3 linked regions of the Styela clava genome follow. The protein of the gene in region 1 purifies or fractionates together with the protein of each later gene. This does not show direct contact. Links are inferred from orthologs where the notes say so. Each region holds a gene or a part of one and is shown in the gene's direction. Other genes may lie near its edges.

Region 1 (6,973 bases):
TTAGGTAATTATCTAATATAGTTTCTTATTTACAGTAAGAACAGAGAAGGGACTTGGGCAACGTACAACGGAAGAGGTCGAGTCATACTTGGTCTTCAAAATATGCTAACAGGAATGTGTGTAGGGGAGATCAGAAAAGGAGTTGTACCACCTCATCTCGGTTTTGGAGAACCTGGTGCAGGTAGAGTTATACAGCGGAGGTTTTGATTTCAAACATAAATCTCCCTGTTTTAAGTTTGTGAATATTGGATATAGGGTACTCCCGTAGTTTGTTAGGGTAGGCCATAATTTTATTCCGATTTTTCTTATTTTAGTTCTATTACGAGTTCGGGGAATATCTGTGTTAGCCAAATGAAAATACCCCCTGCCCATAGGCTTTCACATCTTTACACAGCGTGATGTAAAGTATGCGAACAAAATTAGTAACACAAACTTTTGGAGCGTCGAATAAAGACCCCTGCACATTGAGTCGAGGGTAATCTGAATCTCAAGTCGAGTCCAAATTTGAGTCAATTCCTCTGTTGTGTCTCACTGGTGGTTATTCGATATTGATTCCAAGTCATTCCATTGAGTGTTCAATAAATTGTGACTCTGGTCCTACTCAAGTCGAACTCGAGTCCCCCCAAATCTGTTTTTATTCATTAAATAATTTTGTTTTTCAATCTTTTATCAAATTTGTTTCATTCAGATGGTATACCTGGTAGTGCTGTTCTGGTATATACTGTGGAACTGCATAAAATTGAAGACTCTCTACCTAACGGAATGTTATTCATGTGGAAGGAAGGCAAATCTGAACCTGAGAATCTTTTCTCGTTGATTGATGATGATGCCAATGGAAAAGTTTCTATTGATGAGGTACACAATGAAAACATTTTATGTAACAATAAATATCATTTTTGATTTTTGAAGTTCAGTACTTACGTAATCTAGACACAATGCAATAGACTTAACTATGCTGACATCGCAGGTTTGAAATCTTGGGTTGAAATGCCATGCCCACCATCTCACCTGGGGGTGTAATAAGCCTGGTAATGCCGAACTGGAAAAATGTTCGTTTCACCAAAAACAGTAAATTTTACATATTAGTGGATGCTTGACATATTTGGGAGTGATGAAATGAAAATGTATTAAAAATCTTGGTTTACCAAAAAAGCATACAATACTCGCCGACAATTGTTGGGTAACTAAAATTCCCAATCTTTTTCGATTAGATATTGGATTTCGAACTCTGGGTATCAGTGCGCCATAGCCAGTTTTGGTTCTACACAACTTCCCTTTCTCCAGTAAAACTTATCTTTCGATATACTTCCTGCAGTTGATGTCATACATTGTTAAAGAAGTTGACGCTGGTAACGGCAAACTTCTTCCTGGTGCTGAGAAGGAAAAAACGATTGAAAATCTATTCAAGGTGATGGATAAAGATGAAGATGGTTTTCTACAAGAAAAAGAGCTGGAATTTCCGACTCCACAGTTTGAAGGCATCATAGGAGAGAAAGTTGATGATGAACTGTGACTTCTCAATATTTCTTCAATAGGAAATTTTTTATTTTTTTGAAGATAAAAATTCCACTGCCAACTATCAATCAAAACTATGAAATTTAATACATTTTCTGTAAAGGTGCTAGTGGGTATTACTATATAATCAAATACACAATTATAACAAGTGTAGGCATTTTTTAAATGATCAGTGTTGTTTAGTCGTAATTGGAATTTAGAGTTAAATTTCGTTGATGTCACTGCAAAAATCATTGAAAGTTGAAGTTATTCTTAAGTTGAAACTTTTTTAAAATTTTTTGGGGTTTGGTATAACACTATCTGTTAGTTTATTGTTGCCATATACTGATTTCACCTTAATCACTGCTCTGTTTATATTGTTTCAATATCAGCATATTGCCTATTAGGATCCATTCCAAATATTCTTTATCATGTTATAATTGTAGAACAAGTATGAAATTTTCATTTACGTATTGCAGTTTGCACAACTGAAGTCTTATTTGTAAGCAGTATTAACTTTTTTACTTTCGAATGTGCCAATAAATTCATCAATTTTGCAAACTTTTGATATTAATTTTGAGCTATCTTTGGGGTTATGAAGACCGATTACAGATTGCGATAGACGGTCCCTATCCATCATCCCCAACAGGTAAAAATAGAAATCTTATTCTATGAATTATCATATTTATAATGGGAAAACAAGTTCTCGACGTCTGATTTTTACATACATTTGTGTAATACGATGTTAACACTACTATTCATGTAGAAAAGTATGGTTTGTACCCAGAAATCTCAGTAAAATAGGGCGCTTTGCACGAGAGTTATATTTTCTGTAGCTTTTGTTCCAAATGACCGGAGTTCTGTTGTATCAAAATCAGGTTAGGCATTATCGCATTGAGTTTCATAATTTATATTCTACGTCACAGGGTGAGATTGCACATACCATTATTCTCACCTGATTCGAAATCATGGCGAATTTCCGCCGTATGTGATTGTTGCATTGTAAGTATTACCGTATTTTGTGCCACGGCTGAGTTAAATCCCTATCTATCGTAAACTTGTCGCCAGACACCGTACGCTCTGTTTCGCGTAGTTTTATTTAGTAATTCTTATCTGCGTGGAAGGGATTTAACAGCAGGTAGTCGTCAATGTGATTTATGTCAACATTTTAATGTCTTGAGCTAACAAATGGCGCAAGAATTACGCATACTATCCATGTCACGCCGTGTAAATTTAAATCGGACATCGACCACTCACAGATCACCACGCATCGAGGAATAAATTAAACAAACACTATCACGTGCTTGGTCTCGCATGAATAGTGAGGAAGCGTGTTTCGCGTGATAGGGATTTTCAATTCATATTGCCAGATATTACTGTATTACATAAGTATAAAATGATAGAATATACATTTTATTAGTTATTCACGACCATGTCATGAGCAGTAAACAAGTTTTAGGCCTGTATTTTATTTAACGTAATAGCTGGTCCCTGGTGAAATCATGGAATAAGTTGGAGAAACCCAACGACCAACAGCTAAATTCTACTACCGGTACTGCACTACTGAAATAAGAAAACTTTCGATTTTTGTTGAGCTACTGCTTTGGAATGAATTCACGGTTTAGGCTATGTACAACGCGATGGCATTATTTGGCCCATTTCTGTTAATCGATATTAGGGTAGATACTGAGATAGAGGTTCTAAAGAAGAGATGTTGGGATGTAAATTTTAAGTTCATTAATTTTGAATTTACCGTTTTGAATTACAGAATTAGATTACGGTAGTTGATCAATCGGTTGACAGGTTTAGGATAGGATTTAACTATTTATCCCGGGGATAGGAAAGCCGATAAGAAGGCTGGCGAACTCTTGTCCGGTTACCATTCCGGCATTCCACGTTGGGTATGCAGGTATGGGATTAGTTAGTTATTTGTTTTCGGAAGCATGGACTTGGAGCAATGGCATCTAGAACTTTAGAAGCAAGTGGAAACCCTGGCCTGCTAGCTGATTACCAAATTCTTTTCATTCCAGTAATAGAGTCTGAGAGCGTTGGTATGCATAGTCGTTTGATATCATTACATGAGCAGATGAAAGTGGGTACCACAGTGTTCATTTCAGCATTTATGCACCGTACTGGTAGGGGTATGATTTCTCAATTTTGCACTGGATCTGCCAATTAGAATTGATATTTATTTCCAAATCTCGCTCTTTTCTGCTTGGCTATTGTAATTCTGTAGTATAAGCAGAATTTGCTGCTCTGAAATGTACAAGAAATGATATATATAATTCTGTAATTCGCGATTTGAGAGTTTTTTAAATATTGAAATCATTCGGATAATTTTGTTAACCCCAATTCCCGAATTCAAAATTAAAACTGTAATTCTGTAATTGAATTATGTGAGCTATAGTAAAACTTTAGGGCTTCAACTATCAGATATTATTAATTTATTTACTGATTTTCTTTTTTATTTTGAAGTAATATTTAATAATATTTAGTAATTCCACATGAGTCAATAACCCAGGATTAAAAATGGTTGTCATTAAATTTGGATTAGTATTTCTTTTAATTTTGTTCTCTGGATTCGGCTTGAACATGGCCGAGGATGATGATGAGGCAGAAGTAGTTGTTGAAGAAGCAGTTGAAGAACCAGAATCCACAGTAAGATTCTTCATATTGTAGAATTTTAAGGGGTATTTCCTCAACCTTTGACCTCCAGAAATTCTTCCTATAGTAACTAGACTGCAATTTGCCCTTTTTATTGTTTTATTGTAATCCAAATTGTTATTTTTTATAATCTATAAATGCTTTGAATCTATGGACTGATGGATAATAATCGTAACAGCATTTTACAGCACCATCATATTAAAAGAATTCTTTATTTTGTTCTGTATATTATTCGTTAATACGAACTATTTTTGTTCCAGATAACAAAATATGAGAAACCGGTTCCCAAAGGCCACGTCAACTTTGCAGAACCTTTCGATAAAGCAGATTCTATTAATGGGTATGATAAATGCAGTAATTTCAATTTGAATATTTATTGAATGGTTGTTAATTAATTTTTATCTTGATTTTCATCCGTACTTAGCATAAGAAACATCGTAATTGTAATGCTAAATTAATTGCAATGGGTTGTGGAGGTCCCATCTTACTGTTATATAATCACAGTCTGGTTACAACTTCACTCTTATATGAGCCGAGTGCAAAGAACGCCTTGTTGTTGCTGCTGACTACGAAGCAGGGGTTGGCAATTACCAGTAGTGGAAGTTTGAATTAGGGCATATAAAATTGGTAACATAATATTCAACTCATGAAATACTTCTGTACTTATTGGCCATGCATGTATCATTGCGAATTCACGACACTGAACGTCATTTGGCAAAGGGAAGCAAGGGACATACAATACTGGAATTCAATGAATGGTGTTCTGCCATTAACAACCTTCGTATAGTTGTGTATTGAACCTTTGACCCGATGTTCAACTGTTACCAAGGGATTCCCACACCTAGACTTGTAACCAGATGAGAGGCACCTTTTCTTGCCTCCAGTTTTAGTATAAAAAATCTTATTCTAAATACTGGTTATTTATTGCCATTATGATATAACAAATAATTACTTTTAGTTTGTTTTTATGGCTTTTCATTTTCGTGCTTTGCTTGAGCTTCCAACAAAATTTGAATTTTTTTGTAATGCATATAATATTATTTTAATTTTTATTGTGTTTTAGTTGGAAAATTTCTGAAGCAAAAAAAGATGGTGTTGATGAAGAAATATCAAAATATAATGGTCGTTGGGAAGTTGTTCAACCCATTACACCACTGTTAGATGGCGATTTGGGATTAGTTTTGAAAGATAAAGCGAGGTTAGTATTTTGGTACTCTTGTAATAAGTGTACCAGGTTCGGGGACTGTTTGTGTTATCCAATTGAATATACCCCCTGCCCGTAGGCTTCCGTCCCTTTACATAACTTGATGTAAAGTAGGCGAACATAACTAGTTACTTCTATATTGGTAAGCATACTTCTGGAGCGCCATTATTTTTAGTGGCATTTCATTTGCAATGTCATTTTTGCATTCCTGTATATTTTTAAATTTTGAAGAGGAGTTACTGTTCCTGTCTCAATTCAATTTGAAACCCATCCGTTTTTAAACAGTTCGCAGTTGACATCTGACTTATGATATGGTTATTCTAATGCAATATCCTGAAATGACTCATTTGTCAGTCTATCTGTAACCGGTTTGGATCTAAACTGTATACATCAGCATTGTTTGTATATACGTTTGTGTTTGCTGTAATTACTGTTGGAATGCATCATTGTTCAGTATTGTATACAACACTTATTCGGGCTTTTCCCTCTGTACAAGGCCATGTAGGCATCCACTGATATTCAATGACATTTTTTTGAAAGTCTGAGATCTTTCTTGTTCCTTATTGTTTACTCAATTTATTATGCTGTTGTATAAAACAATAAAATATATATTAATAGGTGCTCCAAAAGTATATAAACCAATATGGAAGTAACTACTACTGATGTAAGTAACCTACTTTACATCAAGTTGTGTAAAGGGACTGAAACCTATGGGCTGGGGTTATATTCACTCGACTAACACAGACAGTCCCCGACTCGTAATAGAACTAAAATAGGAAAAATCAGTATCAAATTATGGCCTATCCCTAACTTGGTACACATACTACGTGAGTACCTTTTAATTTTTGTGATGCAACAGATCTTTATAAATTATAAATATAATATGTCTTTATTTTAGACATCATGCAATTTCTGTCGACCTGTCAAAGCCATATGAATTTGATGGAGAACCATTTGTCATGCAGTATGAAGTCAATTTCCAAAATGGAATCGAATGTGGTGGTGGCTATGTAAAACTCCTTTCAAAAACTGAAGATGTTACCTTAGTAAGTTTTTATCAATAAAACGTCAATTCTCTTTTCTATCAATATCGTAAAAGCATTTTCAACAAACCAACTATTTTACATTTTCAGAAAACTTTCAACGATAAAACACCGTACACAATTATGTTTGGGCCAGACAAATGCGGGGAAGATTATAAGGTAAATTTTCTTGTTGACGTAGTTCTGTTTTAAATTGAATATGGATTTGAATTCTAGATGTCTGTACAGAGAAATCGAACATTTTGGCAAAATGTGGAGTCGTGTAAAAATCACACTTTATTCCAAGCCATTCAACAATGGCATAGATTTTAGAGTTGGACTCTAGTCTTGAACTCCAAGAAAAGCAAATTTGTTTGAATAGAACTCTTAGTCAAATTGATGGTTTCAAAATCACAGGAGTCATAATTTTTGATTCTTTAGAATAGTGATGTGGAATTTCAGGTGTTGATAATTTAAGGAAAAATGTGCATACACAAAAGATTTTGGTAGCAAAATGAATATTTTCGAATTTCTGTCCATCCCATCCAAATGTCTGTATCTTAATGTCTGTCTAAGTCAAATTTTGTAG
Region 2 (7,822 bases), on another chromosome or scaffold:
AAAAACATTTTTGTGAGTCTATCTAGACCTGGGGCTTCATCCAGCGTCGTGAATTTGAAAGCCACAATTATTTATTCTACAGATCTTTCTTGATCTAAAATTGTCTTATTCAACTCCAAATTAAATGTTCTAAAATCTAAATTATATAACAAATTTATTGGATGAGTATAATTTTACATCTCCCTTTACATTGAAAAAGGCTTTTGCTCTTTTATCCTTTAAATCTGCAGCAATTCTTCCATTTTGTGTTTTCGAAGGTTTGAATTGTTTCAATTTGTCCCTTTATGTTTCTGAATTCAGGAAGTATTTTGGTGGCCCTTCAACTTTTTCTAATCATTTAGTCTTCGATCTCACAATTTAACCCTGCAGTTTGCTTTTACCAATAACATAAAGAACTTATCAGTTGCAACAAATTCTGTTTACATTCTGTACAATTATGACGTTTTATTGTATATTGGTGAGCATTCTCATACTTGTTTTTGAATTCTATTCTTCTTCCATTCTTTTCTATGCGCAAGTTATCCCCTCGCAAATGAATTGTTTTCAAAGTCGTTGGTGATACCAATTTTTTATTTTTGTATCTGCGAATAACCCATCAAAGTATTTTTGTTGACTTTCAACCTTCTAATCAACAATCTGTTTTCCTTCAATAATATTTGGGCATTGTTTATCGACATTTTTCGGCTCGGCCTGTTTCATAAAATTTGTTATTTGAAAAATGGTTTTGGTCTTCGTGTTCATATATTTAGGTTAAGACATTGCTTCATTGTATTTCTATTGCATTGTGGCGTATTCTACACATAGCAAGTCTGGGCTTGGAATATTAAGTCCTGTAGGAGCCAAGGAAAGTTTGAAAGTCTCCTTTCATATCTGAGAACAGTACCAAATGACCACACAGAAGAACAAGAGAGCTATGCTCAAATATATGGACACGTGGCGCCACATAGTGGCCAATTTTGATGACGTCCAGCACACAAAAAAACGAATTCCATGCAGCTCACGGGAATATTTGAAATGAATAAAAGTAATAGCCTTCTAGAAAAAAATTGAATCTTAATCAATGAAAATTTCAAAGCAATTGGTCCGGTAATTGAAGAGAAAGGCGATATTTTTCATAACGATACCAAGAAGAATATAAACAAGAAGAAGAAGAAGAGTGCCAGCATAAAATGCAAAACGATCGTTATCGTTGCTTATCAACAATAACAGTTCTCCAACAATCAAGTTGCTAAAACTTGGCTAATGTTTATATTTGAACCTTGGGTGTCGCTGCTTGATAACCAGCTTTGGTTCTCCGCAGCTTCCCCTCCCCAGTGAAATGTGTATTTAATATTATTCGTCATAATTTTGCATGTTTATCAAGTTGCTAAAACTTGACTAATGTTTATTTGGATATTTGAACCTTGGGTATCGCTGCTTAATAACCAGCTTTGGTTCCCCGCGGCTTCCCTTCCCTAGTGAAATGTGTATTTACTATTATTTGTTCGTCTTAATTTTGCATGGTTATCATTTTTACTGGATGGAAAAAATAAACTTGACTATGATTATGTTATGTCCACTAACGTGTCCAATAATTTAGCAAAATTATTGTTATCCATTGATTCACTTCATCTCCCTTGGCCGATACCGGCAAGAGCGGCCTGCTCTTTATATCATCCCAAACTCCGAGTGACTACCAGTATAGAGGACTTGCACGGGTCACGTGATTTTGTTTTCAGTTATATTCCACTGTTTTCAAAAGATTCGGAACGTCGCGCAATGTGGATATCATCTATTGGCAAGACTGCTTGGTGTCAAGTCCAGAAGTCATCTCGCTTGTGTTTCACTGTTTGCGGACAGCACTTCGTAGATGGTGAGTGATAATGTGCCGTTATCAATTTCTTTAAATATTCCTAAGCTCCCTCATTTCAATGGAAAGCGGATAACAAACTACTGTTATTGGTAGACTAGGCGTAGGCCTACTTGCTTGTCTACTTGCAGGTTTGACTTGTGTAAGGAATTAATCATCAATTGCCATAAGGTATTGTTTCCCTAGTTAGCAGGTAATCTATTAGTAAGTGTGAAAAGTTGAATAGATAACTAAAGTTTACCGCCAGTGCTATGCCATTCTATGTCGGGATTAGTTAGCCAGTTATTTGTTTTCAGAAGCATGGACTTAATGGTGGGGGATGTAGTAACCGACCAGCGGTCGTGTGAACCACCCTCAGTGGAAAGAGAGCTGCAATCCTCTCGCACATAACTATCCCCGCATGGGTTTGGAACCTGTGGAACTACCAGGGTGATCAGAGATGCGGACCACTGGCGTTAAACTTTAGTTATCTAGTCAACTTTTCTCACTTAGTAATAGATTACCTGCTAACCAGGGAAACAATACCTTATGGCAATTGATGATTAATTCCTTACACAAATCAAGTCTGCAAGTAGGCCTACCAATAACAGTAGTTTGTCATCTGCTTTCCATTGAAATGAGAGAGCTTATGAATATTAAAAGAAATTGTTAACGGCACATTATCACTACCCGTCAACGAATTGCTGTTCGCAAACAGTGAAACACAAGCGAGATGACTTTTGGACTTGACACCAAGCAGTCCTGCCAATAGATGATATCCACATTGCGCGACGTTCCGGATCTTTTGGAAACAGTGGAATATAACTGAAGATCCATTTTGTTGTCTATCTATACTATACTGACAGCCAACGGAACAATACGAAATAACCATTTCAACAGCCAAACAAAACGGAAACCAATGGATCTTTCCCCGACCTTTGAACCCCGAAAAATTCTTCCTATACTTTACCATTGCAAAATTTCCGGGGCTATTTTAAGAGTGCTTTTGCGAGTTGGCGCCCGTGAAATGAGGGTATGTGTTTCGAACCATCATTATGATTCATCGCATACAACAATCTGTTTTTTAACAGTACTGTTAAAGAATTTTAGCCTAGTCTATCACAGCTATTTCTACACTAATTTTCATTACGACAATTAAATTAAAACTCCTAGGAAGACAGGGTGACCATTGAATTATCTGATTTACATTTAAGTTTCCAAAACACAACTGAAAACTAACGAATGGAGTTCAAAAATGCGAAAACGAGGTAATGTTTACGACCACGCTTGAAAATCTGTCTGAGTGAGAAAAGTGTCTGAGCGGATGCGAAAAGGGAGCATTGTTACGTCACTTTTTGCAATTAGCTGATTGGCCAATGTCACGAAGTAAACAAGGAAGTCGATTCTTGGAGAAAGGTCCATAATTCGACTTGCAACTGAGTGAACTGACAGGAGCCAGCTGGACGTTTTTGTTTTTTTGCCGTCCAGTAAACAAAGTCACGTGACCCATGCAAATCCTATATATCAGCCAGTCTCGTTTTGCCGCTTTTGATTTGGCGGCGCGTGTCACATTGTAGTACTATGGTTAAGTAGTACAGCAGTAGAAGTAGACTAGTGTGGTGGTGTCTGATCCGAATGTTCACATGCAGACATAGGTGTACGTACAGACGTAGCTGAGCAGTTTTAATAAGCTTACTATTTGTTATTGAGACTAGTGGCGTTTCACACTGCAGCACTGGGTAATGATAATAAATAGGACTGTTCGAGCTCCTTTACAGATTTCAGGATTTATTAATTTGGTACTAGTATTCAATTTATCGATACCGTATTCAAAAAAAGTATGTCTTTATGTGGGCTAGGCTATGAGGCAAAAAAAATTGTGAAACATTTTATGTAATATGTTTCCCCATTAAAAATATTGCACATACACTGATACAGACATGTGATGTACGGGGGTCTTACTACTTACTGAATACAGCGCGAAACAGAGGAAAACAGATGGAAGCCAGCGCAAAACAGAGGGAAACAGCGCAAAACAGGAGACGCAGTCATTACCACCTCCTGCCACGAAAGAACCACGGCGCCTCTCGCCATGCAGCCATGGTTTTATGGCTCTATTTCCGGTACCGTAGTACCGGTATATTTACAAAGTTATGTACCGGATTATAGGTCATCATGCGAAATTTTATCTACCTTTTTGGTGCTCCAGAAGTATGTGCAGCAATATGTTGCACAACCTGAATCCGCCACACACACACATACTATTTTCAGGTTGTGCGCCATCTTGGTGCACATACTTCTGGAGGTCCCTTTTTACCTAACCCTAACCCTAAAGCCAACCATATCCATATGGAAAATGTTCTAAATTATGGTACCCAAAATGTGCCACCAGCAGGGGCAGACCTGCGATTACAGCATTTCTGGCTACATATGATGGTTTGTGTTTTTAATTTGCTGCCGTGGTACTCCAACTCAAAACAAGTTGCCCTGAACTCATTGCAAAAAATTTTTCTGCTTCACACTGTTTCCCTCTGTTTTGCGCTGTTTCCCCACTGTTTTGCGCTGTTTCCCTCTGTTTTGCGCTCTTTGTGGTGTTTCGCGCTGTATTCAGTAAGTAGTAAGACCGGATGTACGGTACTGATATATGACAACCGCTGCCACAAAATTTTTATAGTTTGTAAAAATTTGCCTTGTTCGTCTTCTGATCAGCGTTTTCAAATCTTAGATTGATTTCATAGTTATTGCCCGATTTTGTAGTGTGCTTCAACTGTTTTGGTGGACAGCCACTTACTCTTACGTTTTTTTTAAGGTTTTGCTTCCCCTCCAAAATTTTCCATTTTTAATTTGTGTAATTAGTGGAGTTTTTGAAATAAATTTATCTTTTGCGTTCAGTGTTGTTTTGTTTTATACCAGAGCAACCAAAATAAAATAATAATTGATTGATTGGACTTATTACTGTATTATCGTTATTCATTTTTAATGTTATGTTTGTTTTTAATAGATTGCGATAACGTATCTGATTGGCGTGGTAGTTGCAGCAGATAAAATATAGGAAATTTAGCTTGTATTTAGTTTTTCAATCAACTTTTCATTTCATTCGCAAGTTAGAAGATCACAATGTCGAGCGGGATCTCATTAAAAGAAATCCGAGATAAAGTAGAGGGAAATGAGATGGATCTCAGTCTAATGCAGATAACAAAAGTTCCTGTGAAAGAAATCTTGTCAATTGCTAAAGCGACATCAGTTGATTTATCCTGCAATCAAATCATCAGACTACCTGAAAATTTTTGTTCAACTTTGCATTATTTAATAAAACTTGACTTGAGCAAAAATCTACTTGAAGAATTACCTCATGACATTTACAAACTCTCTGCCCTTCAGCATTTGGATTTGTACGATAATAAATTGACGACGCTTCCTGTTGATATCTCCAGAATGAAAACATTGAAATATCTTGATCTGAAAGACAATCCTCTTGATCCCGTTTTAGTAAAGATTGTCGGCGGTTGTTTGGATGATAAAGAATGTAAAAAGTGTGCGACTCAAGTCATCGCTCATTTCAAAGTTCTGTCGTCCGACATGGAAAGAAAAAGACAAGAAGTATTGAAGAGGGATCGTGAAAAACAAGCATTGATAAAACAAGCAGAAGAGGAAGAAGAAAGGAAAAAGAACATTGAACGAAAAAAAGCGAAGAAGGTTGAAAAAGAAGCAAGGCGGAAAAGGTGGGAAGAAATACAGAGAGTAAAAGAAATAGAAACAAAAAAGCGCAAGAGGACAGATGAAAGCAGCAGTGAAAGTGAAAGAGATTCTTCTGATGATAGAAAAAAAGATCTTAGCAAGTCAAAATCTTGGCTTCTTAGTTTTTGGGGAGTTCTTCTGATGTCCATTTTAGCTGTGTTTGCCTCTGCAATAGGAATTCGTTTATATTGCCAAGAAAATGAAGCAAATGAGGAATGCATATTGGTACGAGATTGGACAAATAATTATAAAGAGGCAACAAGGGAACATCTGGGTGCATTCGTACAAAATGCCAAACAAATTGTCAATTTTGGTTTAGCAAAGTTGTCAGGAGTTGCAAAAAATCTAGGGTACTGATCTTACGTAAGCGTGCTATCATGGGCATGCTTTGATCCATCTATCTCTAGAAGATTTATTGTTATTAAAAATAGCAAATCGTCAAATATTTGATGGCAAATTCTTTAATGGATAGTGCTTGAAGAGTTCAGAATTGCAAAAAAATGTAATTTATTATAAATTATATATTCATTAGGCATATCCATATATATAGCCTACATAAATATATATATATATTTTATATGTTGAAACCTGTCATATCTCTGCAGCAGTGCCAAATTACTTTCTTTATCTTCTGGTTAGGTTTTGTGTGTCGTTTTTTATACTTTACCAACAAAACAACATGTAGTAGCCTAGTAAAGTTTATAACCTATTGCTAGTTTGGTCGTCTTTATTGTCAAAACTTTGTATTAATTCAGCGCACTGAAAGTGAATAGTATCTTTTTATGAATTAATGTGGTGGTGGTGTAAGTATAGCGTTGGTATGTTGTTTCATAGTTTGAGGTGCTTTATTGTTTTGCATTACATTTGTTCCAAGCAAAACCATTGTTATTAGGGCTTTATTGCATGTTCTGAATAGGATGTGAAAGTTGGAATTTACTTCGAGAACTACTCCAGACTCCTGCTGCACAGAATGTTTAGTCAACCAATTGCTCTTCTAGTTTTTGTTGGAAACTAGATTACTGCTATCAGAAGCCTGAAATTTCTATTTTGGTTCCTACTTCTGGGAGTTTGAAAACATGACAAAATCGGAATGGCACAAACTGCACAGTACTGGTTTTAACTGTAAATCACACTAGGCATTTCACATTAGAACAAAAATATCAAGATTGAACTTCCTATTGTCTTTTATTCATTATATTGTGGAAGTATGAAACGATAATGTGTATTATATTTGCTAACTGTACTTGTGATTAGGCAATTTTGTGTTCGATTTTTATTTTTTGAACCCAATATCAACAAAACAGTTGTTTATTATTTAAACTCAATGAGCAATTGTTAAATTTTATTGAAATTCTAATATTTCAGAATCTGTCTAAACAAGGTTTTTCACATACAAATAATTTGGTAATATAATACTAAATCACATTCATATAGAGATTATTTATATTGACTCGCTGTTGCGGTGTATTTAGGTCATAATATCTACCAGTTATGATATAAAACTCGATTCATCCCCATTATTCGGACATATCATTTTTTGCATGTTAGTATAAATATTTGCATTGTGTTTGTCTTTAATCTTATATTTGGTTATTTTAGTGCAATTATGTCTATTCCATTGATTTCTAATTTGACAGCCACTGCTTTAGTTCAAATTGCTTGCAAGTTCAATTAGTGCTTATTTTTGATGTTATTTCATGATATTTGTTATTATGGTGAGCTTAATTAGTATATAGAGATCCAGAAGTATATCTATATTTTAATGTTGCTATGTTGGGCCAGGTTATATTGGTTATTTCAAAGTGTAATGCTTTATAGGGTATATTATTGGTAATTGTGTGTGGCCATGCTCCCAATCAATGATATAATATAATGAATTTTTACTAATCCGTATCATATGACATGTGTATTTGACTAGTGCAATTAAAAATTAAATCTTTTTTTTTCATTGCCAAAAGCTGGTGCTATTCGATACCACAAAAAAGAAACAAATTTTGTCTCTTCCCAGTGCCACCAAATTTTCGTGTACATGAAGAAAATAAAAATATTTTTTTGTTTTTTATTCTACTCGAATAAAACTGCCTAAATTGTCATCCACGATAGTTTTGTCTTTCTATTGAGCTTCAGTCTTTCTTTTCATTGTAACCTGGTCTAATTGTAGGATCATTAACCTGCATAAGTTTATACTAGTTCCGTGATATGTGATAAATTTATTACTTGTTATCAGAATTTGTATCAACATCTGTAGATATAAAA
Region 3 (7,620 bases), on another chromosome or scaffold:
ACTGACATGTAGAGATTTCAGTGCGGAAATCTTTTATTGGAAGCGGATTACAAGAGTTGTACTCTATTGTAAAAAAAGCCATGAATTGACAATAATTAATAGGTACCGAGATCTAAATCTAAAAACAGTGTTTCTTCACGCCTATGCACTTATTTCAGTATTCAAGTACATTTTAATTTGCGTTCAAACTATCATGTCATAACCAAAATGACTTAATAATATTAAAAAACTAACAACAACCAACTACTAAACCTTGGTTTAACCTCGCAGGTGACAATTTAGCAGCTAGTCTACTGGCTTAGAAGTCAAATGGGGTTTAAAAATTTTACTTATCAAAATGTCGAAACTAATTGCCAAGGGCTACAGGAAACAACCCAGATTTTTTTGATGGCTGGATTTGAGAATAACCGAGTAATTAAATACTAATATCTAAATAAATACTTATATAAACGGTATTCCGAACTAAAAATACTCAATTACTGAACATATGAAAACCTTCACGCCAGTGAATCAAGAAAACACAGCCTGAGCACTTAAAATTTTATTCCCCCAAATGCATGATGTGCCAAATTTGTCACACGCATTACCACCTAAATATTTCGAAATGCTGAAGAAATAGTTAAAAACTGCTAAGCTAGGCCTCTTCCTTGCTAATACCCCCACTATTACGAATTATCTCCTATTATCTCCTCCGTTTATTGCACAATAGAGAGAATGCGTTCCAGATGCAAAGAATCTACGTTACTCAATAGCATAACCAAGTGGACCAATATAAAAAACAACACGTGACCCAAAAGAGATGTTTTGAATTTGACCCGCCATGCATTAAAGCGCTAATAATATGCGGGAGTATTGACACGGAATAATAGCGTGTTAAATTAGTCAAATTCATTTGTTCTCATATATGGGCGCGATTGATATGTGCATTTTTTTACTCAAAATGTCATTTTACTTGCAATCGCACGAATCTTATATATTCAGTAGCGTAATAGACATTTCATATTCAGAATACGTTCTGTGAATTCATTTGCGATCCAATACGGACGAATTGAAGTTGTGGCTAAGATGCCTAGTGGGGACTGGTTGTGGCCTGCGATATGGATGTTACCCAGGTGAGAATTTAAAACATTTATATATGTTATTTTAACACTTGAGGAGAGTGCTCGTGTTTGAACTTTGAACTTTTTGAAAGTCTTTATATCTACTTCGACAACCATTACAAAATCGATGGTCATATGAGCATGCTTGAGACGTATGCCTGTAGACGCTCAATGCGAGACTGAGATGGGTTTTAAAATATGACCCAAGTATCAACGTCACACTGGCAGATATTAGAAATCTTGAATTTGTCACCAAAGGTGCATCAACTTTGGATTTGGAGCTGGAGCAGTAATGGCTCAGGATTTGGTGCTGTAGTAATTTTTTTCCCCCACTTCACAGTCTCGATGGAAAATATGGAGGTTAAACTATGAATATATATAATTGTATATCCTCAATTTTTGAGGACTACTGGCATGATAAGTAGAAAATCAAAATTCACACTTCAATTTGAAATGAAATTTTCCAATTGACGTTGGCCCTATATATTCGCGTAGTTATTGACTGTTTTTCATAAAGTTCAACCTTGTATGAATAATGCAATTACCTAACCACTCACGTTTTCATTGCCAAAAGTCAATAGGCATGCAATTCAACGTTGAAATGTTTTATCTATATCCACACTAATCTAAGTCTAAATAAATAAATACAAGAGAGTTATGAATACATAAAAACAAATACCCTCTATATCGGTGCATAAATTGCGGACCATAATTAAAAAACATTCTAGAACTCAAGAAAGGTTTTCTAAATAGAAATATAGTAAAGTAACACACAATATCATTATGTAATTTTAATAAACCCTATAACGAGTTAACCAAATTAAAAATGAGGCCTGTTGCTTTGGAACGACCTGATGTCAAATTTGAATTTACTTTAACAGAGACAATAGGTACGGAGGATGGCCAGCATCTGGAGAGATAGACATTATAGAATCAAGAGGTGAGTGAGTCCAAGCTTTTACGTTATAATCCCAAATACGTTTTTCAATTTATTCGATTGCCATCTCACTATTTTGATATTATTGTTCGTTAATATTTAGTCATTCAAACAGGGGTTGCATTTTCTCTTACTTGGAAATACACGTCACATGATAATCCGAATGAAAGATACATATCATGAGGTACATAACGGGCGTTCATTTCACACTTATGTTACACTAATGATTCTAATTTTGTCATCATTCTTTGTTTTTTAGGAAATATAAATCTCACAGATGCTGAAGGCGTTTCTAAAGGTCGTGACAATATGGGTATGACTCTACATTGGGGACCTTACTTTCCACTGAACGGATATCCAAAGACAACAATCGAAAGGTCTGTCATAAGCAGGAATATAAATTTTCGATAATGATTCGGTTTCTGTGGGACTAACTACTCATCCTTCTAAACGAAACGTTACAGAAATATATTTTAGCGTGCAGCAAGACTCTTGAATCACTTAGAATAAATTTTCGATTTATCGTTCTTTATTAGACGAAATCCTAATCTATAGACACACAGTTTAAGCATTCCACATTAGCTTCTTTCTTCTTTTCGTACTCAATGGCGTCCAATAATTTAATTAATGTTCGAAATTCGAATCTGGTTGCGTTATAAATTTGCACCTAAATTATACATCAAAGAGCTTACAGAGTTTAATTGAATCTTCTCATCTTCGTGATATTTTATTCCAAGTTTTCTTAACGTTATGTAAAGACGAGCAAAATTAAAAAATATAGAGAAAATATGAGCTGAATCATTAATTCCATTTCATTTATATACTACAATAATATATATCTGGCACAGTCATCCGGCTTCGGGAACGTACGCATCGGCCTTTCACACATGGGTTGTTGATTGGACAGCAGAATATATAGATTTGTTTGTGGATGGTAAATTGCTGCGAAGAGTTGATCCGGGACCTGGAGGATTTTTCGATTATGGTGAATTTGAAAAAGAAGCACCGGGTATCGATAATCCATGGGCGAATTCTAACAACAAAATGACACCATTTGATCAAGAAGTAAGTTTTGGAAGTAATTTAACATGATAATAAAACATTCAGTTATTGCTCGTTTGTTTAGATTGTTTAATTATGGTTTATTCAGTATTTTCAACAATTATTTCTAGTTCTATATTCTCATAAATGTGGCTGTCGGCGGCACCAATGGATTTTTCCCAGATTCTTGGATAAATGCACCTCGCGAAAAGCCATGGAAAAATGATTCACCAACGGCAATGAAAGATTTTTGGTTGAAAAAAGACGAATGGTGAGTAATTAAGTCATTCCCAATAATACCAAAATGTTGAAGAGCCTCAATGAATGTAATTTTCCTACCCGGAAACAATGAAGCGTGGGAGTATTCAGTTGTTAGTTATTAATTAATAAAAAAAAACAGAGATGTAGAAAAGTTAGAAAGAAGTGAGTTAAATAGATATGAAACAGCGATAGTTCGCGGGACCAATTCCTCTACGCGAATGTCATCGAAAAAGTCAGAGACAATTGAGATAAAAAAGAAATTTTTCGGAATCTATCTTTAGGTCTCAAATGCACAATATTTTTTCTGGTTTCCCGTATAGTGAATATCGAGAATTCCAATATTTTTGGCTCATCGTGATCGTGACGAGTATATATATAAGTGTAGTAATTGTCAAAAGCTTGATGTTTAGTAAAAACTAAAAAAAAAATTAATTTGTCTATTAAAGTTAAATCAAAATGTATCGCCCCTATTAAATTTGTTTTTCTTTTACTATAGGTATCCATCATGGCAGCCAGACGTTGACAATGGTGAGAACGCTGCTATGCAAGTCAGAAGTATTAAAGTTTGGGCTAAATAAATATGAAGTCGCTCCACCAGATAATTCATTTGTAAGTAATAATTGATGTAAATGTCAACAACAACACACTAGTCGGGGATCGAAGACTACGCTGTTTCGGACGTCTCAACTTCATTTCACTGTAATCTTGGAAATCAACAAATGTTGTTGTAAATTACCTCAGAAACTTTTTCCCGATTATACATATTTACAAATGTATATAAATGGTAATAAATTATAAGTAAATACAGCATTCAATTTTTTTTCATATTTTTGTTGTTAAAAGTTTCCAGTGCAGCATTACAATTAGTCTTAATGATTTCTGGATATTTGATATCTGGATTTCTGATATCCAATAAAAGAATCAGTCAACTAGAAAACTTGAGAAGTTGTATTAGACACTGAAGCGAAAGGTACATAAAATGTCTATTTTAGAACCGTTGAAAATGTATGTACGGAGACTCGGGGAGTGCATTCTTATTCGTAAACCTTGTGTTGGGCTTCCATGATTCGTTAAGGCGGAAGTATATATATCATCATTCTATGAACAGTGTCAGTCAATAATCCTCATTTAGTCTATAATCAACCATGATGAAATAAATCAAACAATATTTAGTGGATAATTTCGATTAATAATTGACAGAAATTATGCAACTTATCCGTAATGTTTCATTACACATAGCGATAAAAATTAAAACATGATGAGTACGTGATAGGAAGACGATATTTTAGTGTGGAGTTCAACGATAATAGAAGCGAAGAATGAAGTCAGTCGTGGGATATAGCTTAATATTGAGCAGCATTGTGATTGCAGGAGTTGTTTCGTTGCTGCTTGTATTGTTGATGCCTTCATCTATTCCACGTATGTTATTTTGTATGGTAATTTTTTTGAATATTTGTGAAATAATGTTCGATACATATTTCGGTGGGGAAAGTCACGTAGGCTATTTATGACAAGTCATATCATTCGTTTTATCGGAAGCATATATATATTTTCTACAATAAGTCAAAGAAGAAATTTAAACCATGCCAACCCCAAATTTAGATGAATGTGGTTGGCGATAATCACCTGAAGCTCTCTTCATTGGCATCGCCAGCAATAGAATGAAAATAGCATTGAAGGTACACTGGAAGTAACCGTACACAAAAATTAATATTTTGGAATATTTATTTTTAAATGGGAAATTCACAAGCTGGAAACCCAATTTTTTCGATAATTTCCAACATTCCGAGAAATAGTTTAGAGGTTCAGTCTGAGCATCATAATGAAAGGTCTTAAAATCAAGAATAGCCCACGAGAGTGGCAATGTTATCTGCTTAAGTCATTGCTTACGCCGAATTGCCTTCGCTTGCTTTTAGAACAACGTCGAACATGTGAGCCGAAATATTTTGATCAAGATCGTATGGTTTGTGTATGTAACTCAACATATTGCGATACACTCGATCCGCTTCCAGATTCATATCCTGAAGGATATATAATTATTTATACATCGAGTCAGAGTGGACTTCGTTTCAACGAGACATCGAATCAATTTCGCTCTCTATCGCAAAGTGATGTAGGTAAGGAATTAAATATTATTTGAATTGTTCATTTCCTAACATAGTCTATATATATGAGAGATGCACACAAATGTGGACACAAGGTCAAATGACTTAACCAGGGATGTGCAACAAGCGACCCGCGGGCCACAACTGACCCGACAGGCCCTTTAGTGTAGCCCGTATGAACACCTAAATTTTTTCTCATCTAGCATAAAATCGTAATCCGACAGTTTATGTTAAGAACTGTTATTAACAAGCTATGCGAAAACTTGAAATTTCAATTGTTTCGCTAAAATGTTAAATAACTAAAATTTTGCATTGTGAGAATATTTCAATTCATTCAACAAGACCCCGAACAACAACAATTAATCAAGTGCTCTTTTCCAGCCGCAGAACATTCGGCGTTTGTGTTTTATGAAGAGTTTTATCCTGGTTTTATCCCTTTTTGTGTAAATATGTATGTTATTGTTTCATTCAGCTACAATAACAGTCAATTCTGGTAAACGGTTGCAGACAATTAAAGGCTTCGGCGGTGCATTCACGGATGCTGCTGGAATAAATATTGCAAGCTTACCTCAACAGGCTCAAGAGAATTTATTGAGGTCATATTTTTCACCAGAGGGTAAGTTTATTGATATTTATGTACACCATAGGCTACGATCCTTTTGTGTGGTTAGAATTCAAAAGCTCGCAAACAGTATATGTATATAAATCATTTTGAACGGTTTAAAAAACGTGTATTGCTTGTTGATTTCAATTATAAATGTCAGTTTTCATAATTTTATGTATTATCTCTTGGTATTATAACATTTCTGTAACAAGGTCACTTCAACTTTTCCAGGTATCGAATATAACATGGGTCGAATTCCTATAGCAAGTTGTGATTTTTCAACTCGAGGATACACGTACAATGATTTCGAGAATGATTTCGCCCTAACAAATTTTTCGTTAGCAAGTGAAGATTTTGTTTACAAAGTAATTTCATTTAAATAAGTTGATGTTAAATTTATAATCGACTGCTGTTGAAAATCTTTCGTTTCTTTACATCTTCGAAGATACCATACATAAAGAAGGCCGTGGCAATGAATAAAAGAAAGATGTCTTTTTATGCCAGCCCTTGGACAGCACCCGCTTGGATGAAAACAAACAATGACCTTATCGGAAAGGGAAGTTTGAAAGGGGAACCAGGTGGACCATACTATCACACTTGGGCTCTGTATTTTGCAAGGTATTGGGACCTCCTGAAGTATGCGCACCGAGATGGCGCACAACCTGAACTCAGGTTGTGTACCAGGTTAGGGTTCAGGTTGTGCGACATTTTAGTGCGCATACTTCAGGAGTACCAGGTATTGTTCATTTTAGTCAGTCGAGAATGGGGATAAGCTTACACTTCTTTCAAACTAATAGATCCTATTTATGAAAAACTAACATTTCGATCCACGTGTTTATTATTATATTTCAAGTGTACAGTAATTGAAATCGCTACAATAACTTCTTTCTGTAATTATGTAATAGATTCATCGAACACGTTCTGTCTTGATTTTATGTATTATATAGATTTATAGAAGAATATACAAAGAACGGTGTAGACATCTGGGGATTAACAGCGCAAAATGAACCAAGTGCTGGGAATATTCAGAATTTTCCATTTCAGTGCATGGGATTCAGTGATATTCAGCAGAGAGACTTCATAAAACTAGATTTGGTAATAAATTAGTTCGTATTCTTTTGTATACTGTTAATAAAACTATAAAAGAAAATACTGACATACAATTTCTCCCATTTTATTGAGTAGGGTCCAACACTAGAAAACCGAGGTCACGGCGACGTAACACTGATGATAATGGATGATCAAAGATTGTTGTTACCGGAATGGCCAAAGGTTGTCCTGAATGATTCAGTCGTGAACGACTATGTTGACGGAATAGCAATTCATTGGTAAACTTAGTTTATAAATATCTGTATTTAATAAATACAGTTTTATTTGAATTAAAAGAATTCTATCTTGATCGACCGATTTTCGGAAGAATAGACCTCGCAAACAATTTTTCGCGTTGTGGAAGCCACTTTATCTTGCGTGTTATAGGCAAGCTTGACTTATTTCGAAGCACGTGTTACTAATTACTAGTGACTTCACATTAGTTGTAGCTTGCAACTCTTTTAGTGATATGTTTTTCACTTA

What was found. The genes of interacting proteins can lie anywhere in the genome.
Region 2: the proteins of calnexin-like (region 1) and uncharacterized protein LOC120336655 purify together in Homo sapiens (affinity purification with mass spectrometry; 3 studies listed by BioGRID and IntAct, with this or other methods). This does not show direct contact. The link is inferred for Styela clava from reciprocal best matches to the Homo sapiens genes CANX and LRRC59.
Region 3: the proteins of calnexin-like (region 1) and lysosomal acid glucosylceramidase-like purify together in Homo sapiens (affinity purification with mass spectrometry; 3 studies listed by BioGRID and IntAct, with this or other methods). This does not show direct contact. The link is inferred for Styela clava from reciprocal best matches to the Homo sapiens genes CANX and GBA1.

Annotation. Positions count from the first base shown.
Region 1 is NC_135250.1:5,736,567-5,743,539, forward strand, and holds the start of calnexin-like, read left to right. Parts: upstream 1-3,956; 5' UTR 3,957-4,023; coding exon 4,024-4,152; intron 4,153-4,418; coding exon 4,419-4,498; intron 4,499-5,221; coding exon 5,222-5,356; intron 5,357-6,260; coding exon 6,261-6,408; intron 6,409-6,495; coding exon 6,496-6,564; intron 6,565-6,973. Other genes in the region: peptidyl-prolyl cis-trans isomerase FKBP9-like, read left to right, coding at 36-181, 689-855, 1,316-1,513. UniProt on the Homo sapiens protein: Calcium-binding protein that interacts with newly synthesized monoglucosylated glycoproteins in the endoplasmic reticulum. It may act in assisting protein assembly and/or in the retention within the ER of unassembled protein subunits.
Region 2 is NC_135251.1:14,800,910-14,808,731, reverse strand, and holds uncharacterized protein LOC120336655, read left to right. Parts: upstream 1-4,809; 5' UTR 4,810-4,945; coding exon 4,946-5,923; 3' UTR 5,924-7,795; downstream 7,796-7,822.
Region 3 is NC_135255.1:13,705,539-13,713,158, forward strand, and holds the start of lysosomal acid glucosylceramidase-like, read left to right. Parts: upstream 1-4,607; 5' UTR 4,608-4,658; coding exon 4,659-4,758; intron 4,759-5,255; coding exon 5,256-5,456; intron 5,457-5,916; coding exon 5,917-6,060; intron 6,061-6,279; coding exon 6,280-6,413; intron 6,414-6,493; coding exon 6,494-6,666; intron 6,667-6,995; coding exon 6,996-7,143; intron 7,144-7,233; coding exon 7,234-7,376; intron 7,377-7,620. Other genes in the region: beta-1,3-glucan-binding protein-like, read left to right, coding at 1,008-1,112, 1,982-2,040, 2,297-2,414, 2,886-3,102, 3,210-3,349, 3,836-3,917. UniProt on the Homo sapiens protein: Glucosylceramidase that catalyzes, within the lysosomal compartment, the hydrolysis of glucosylceramides/GlcCers (such as beta-D-glucosyl-(1<->1')-N-acylsphing-4-enine) into free ceramides (such as N-acylsphing-4-enine) and glucose.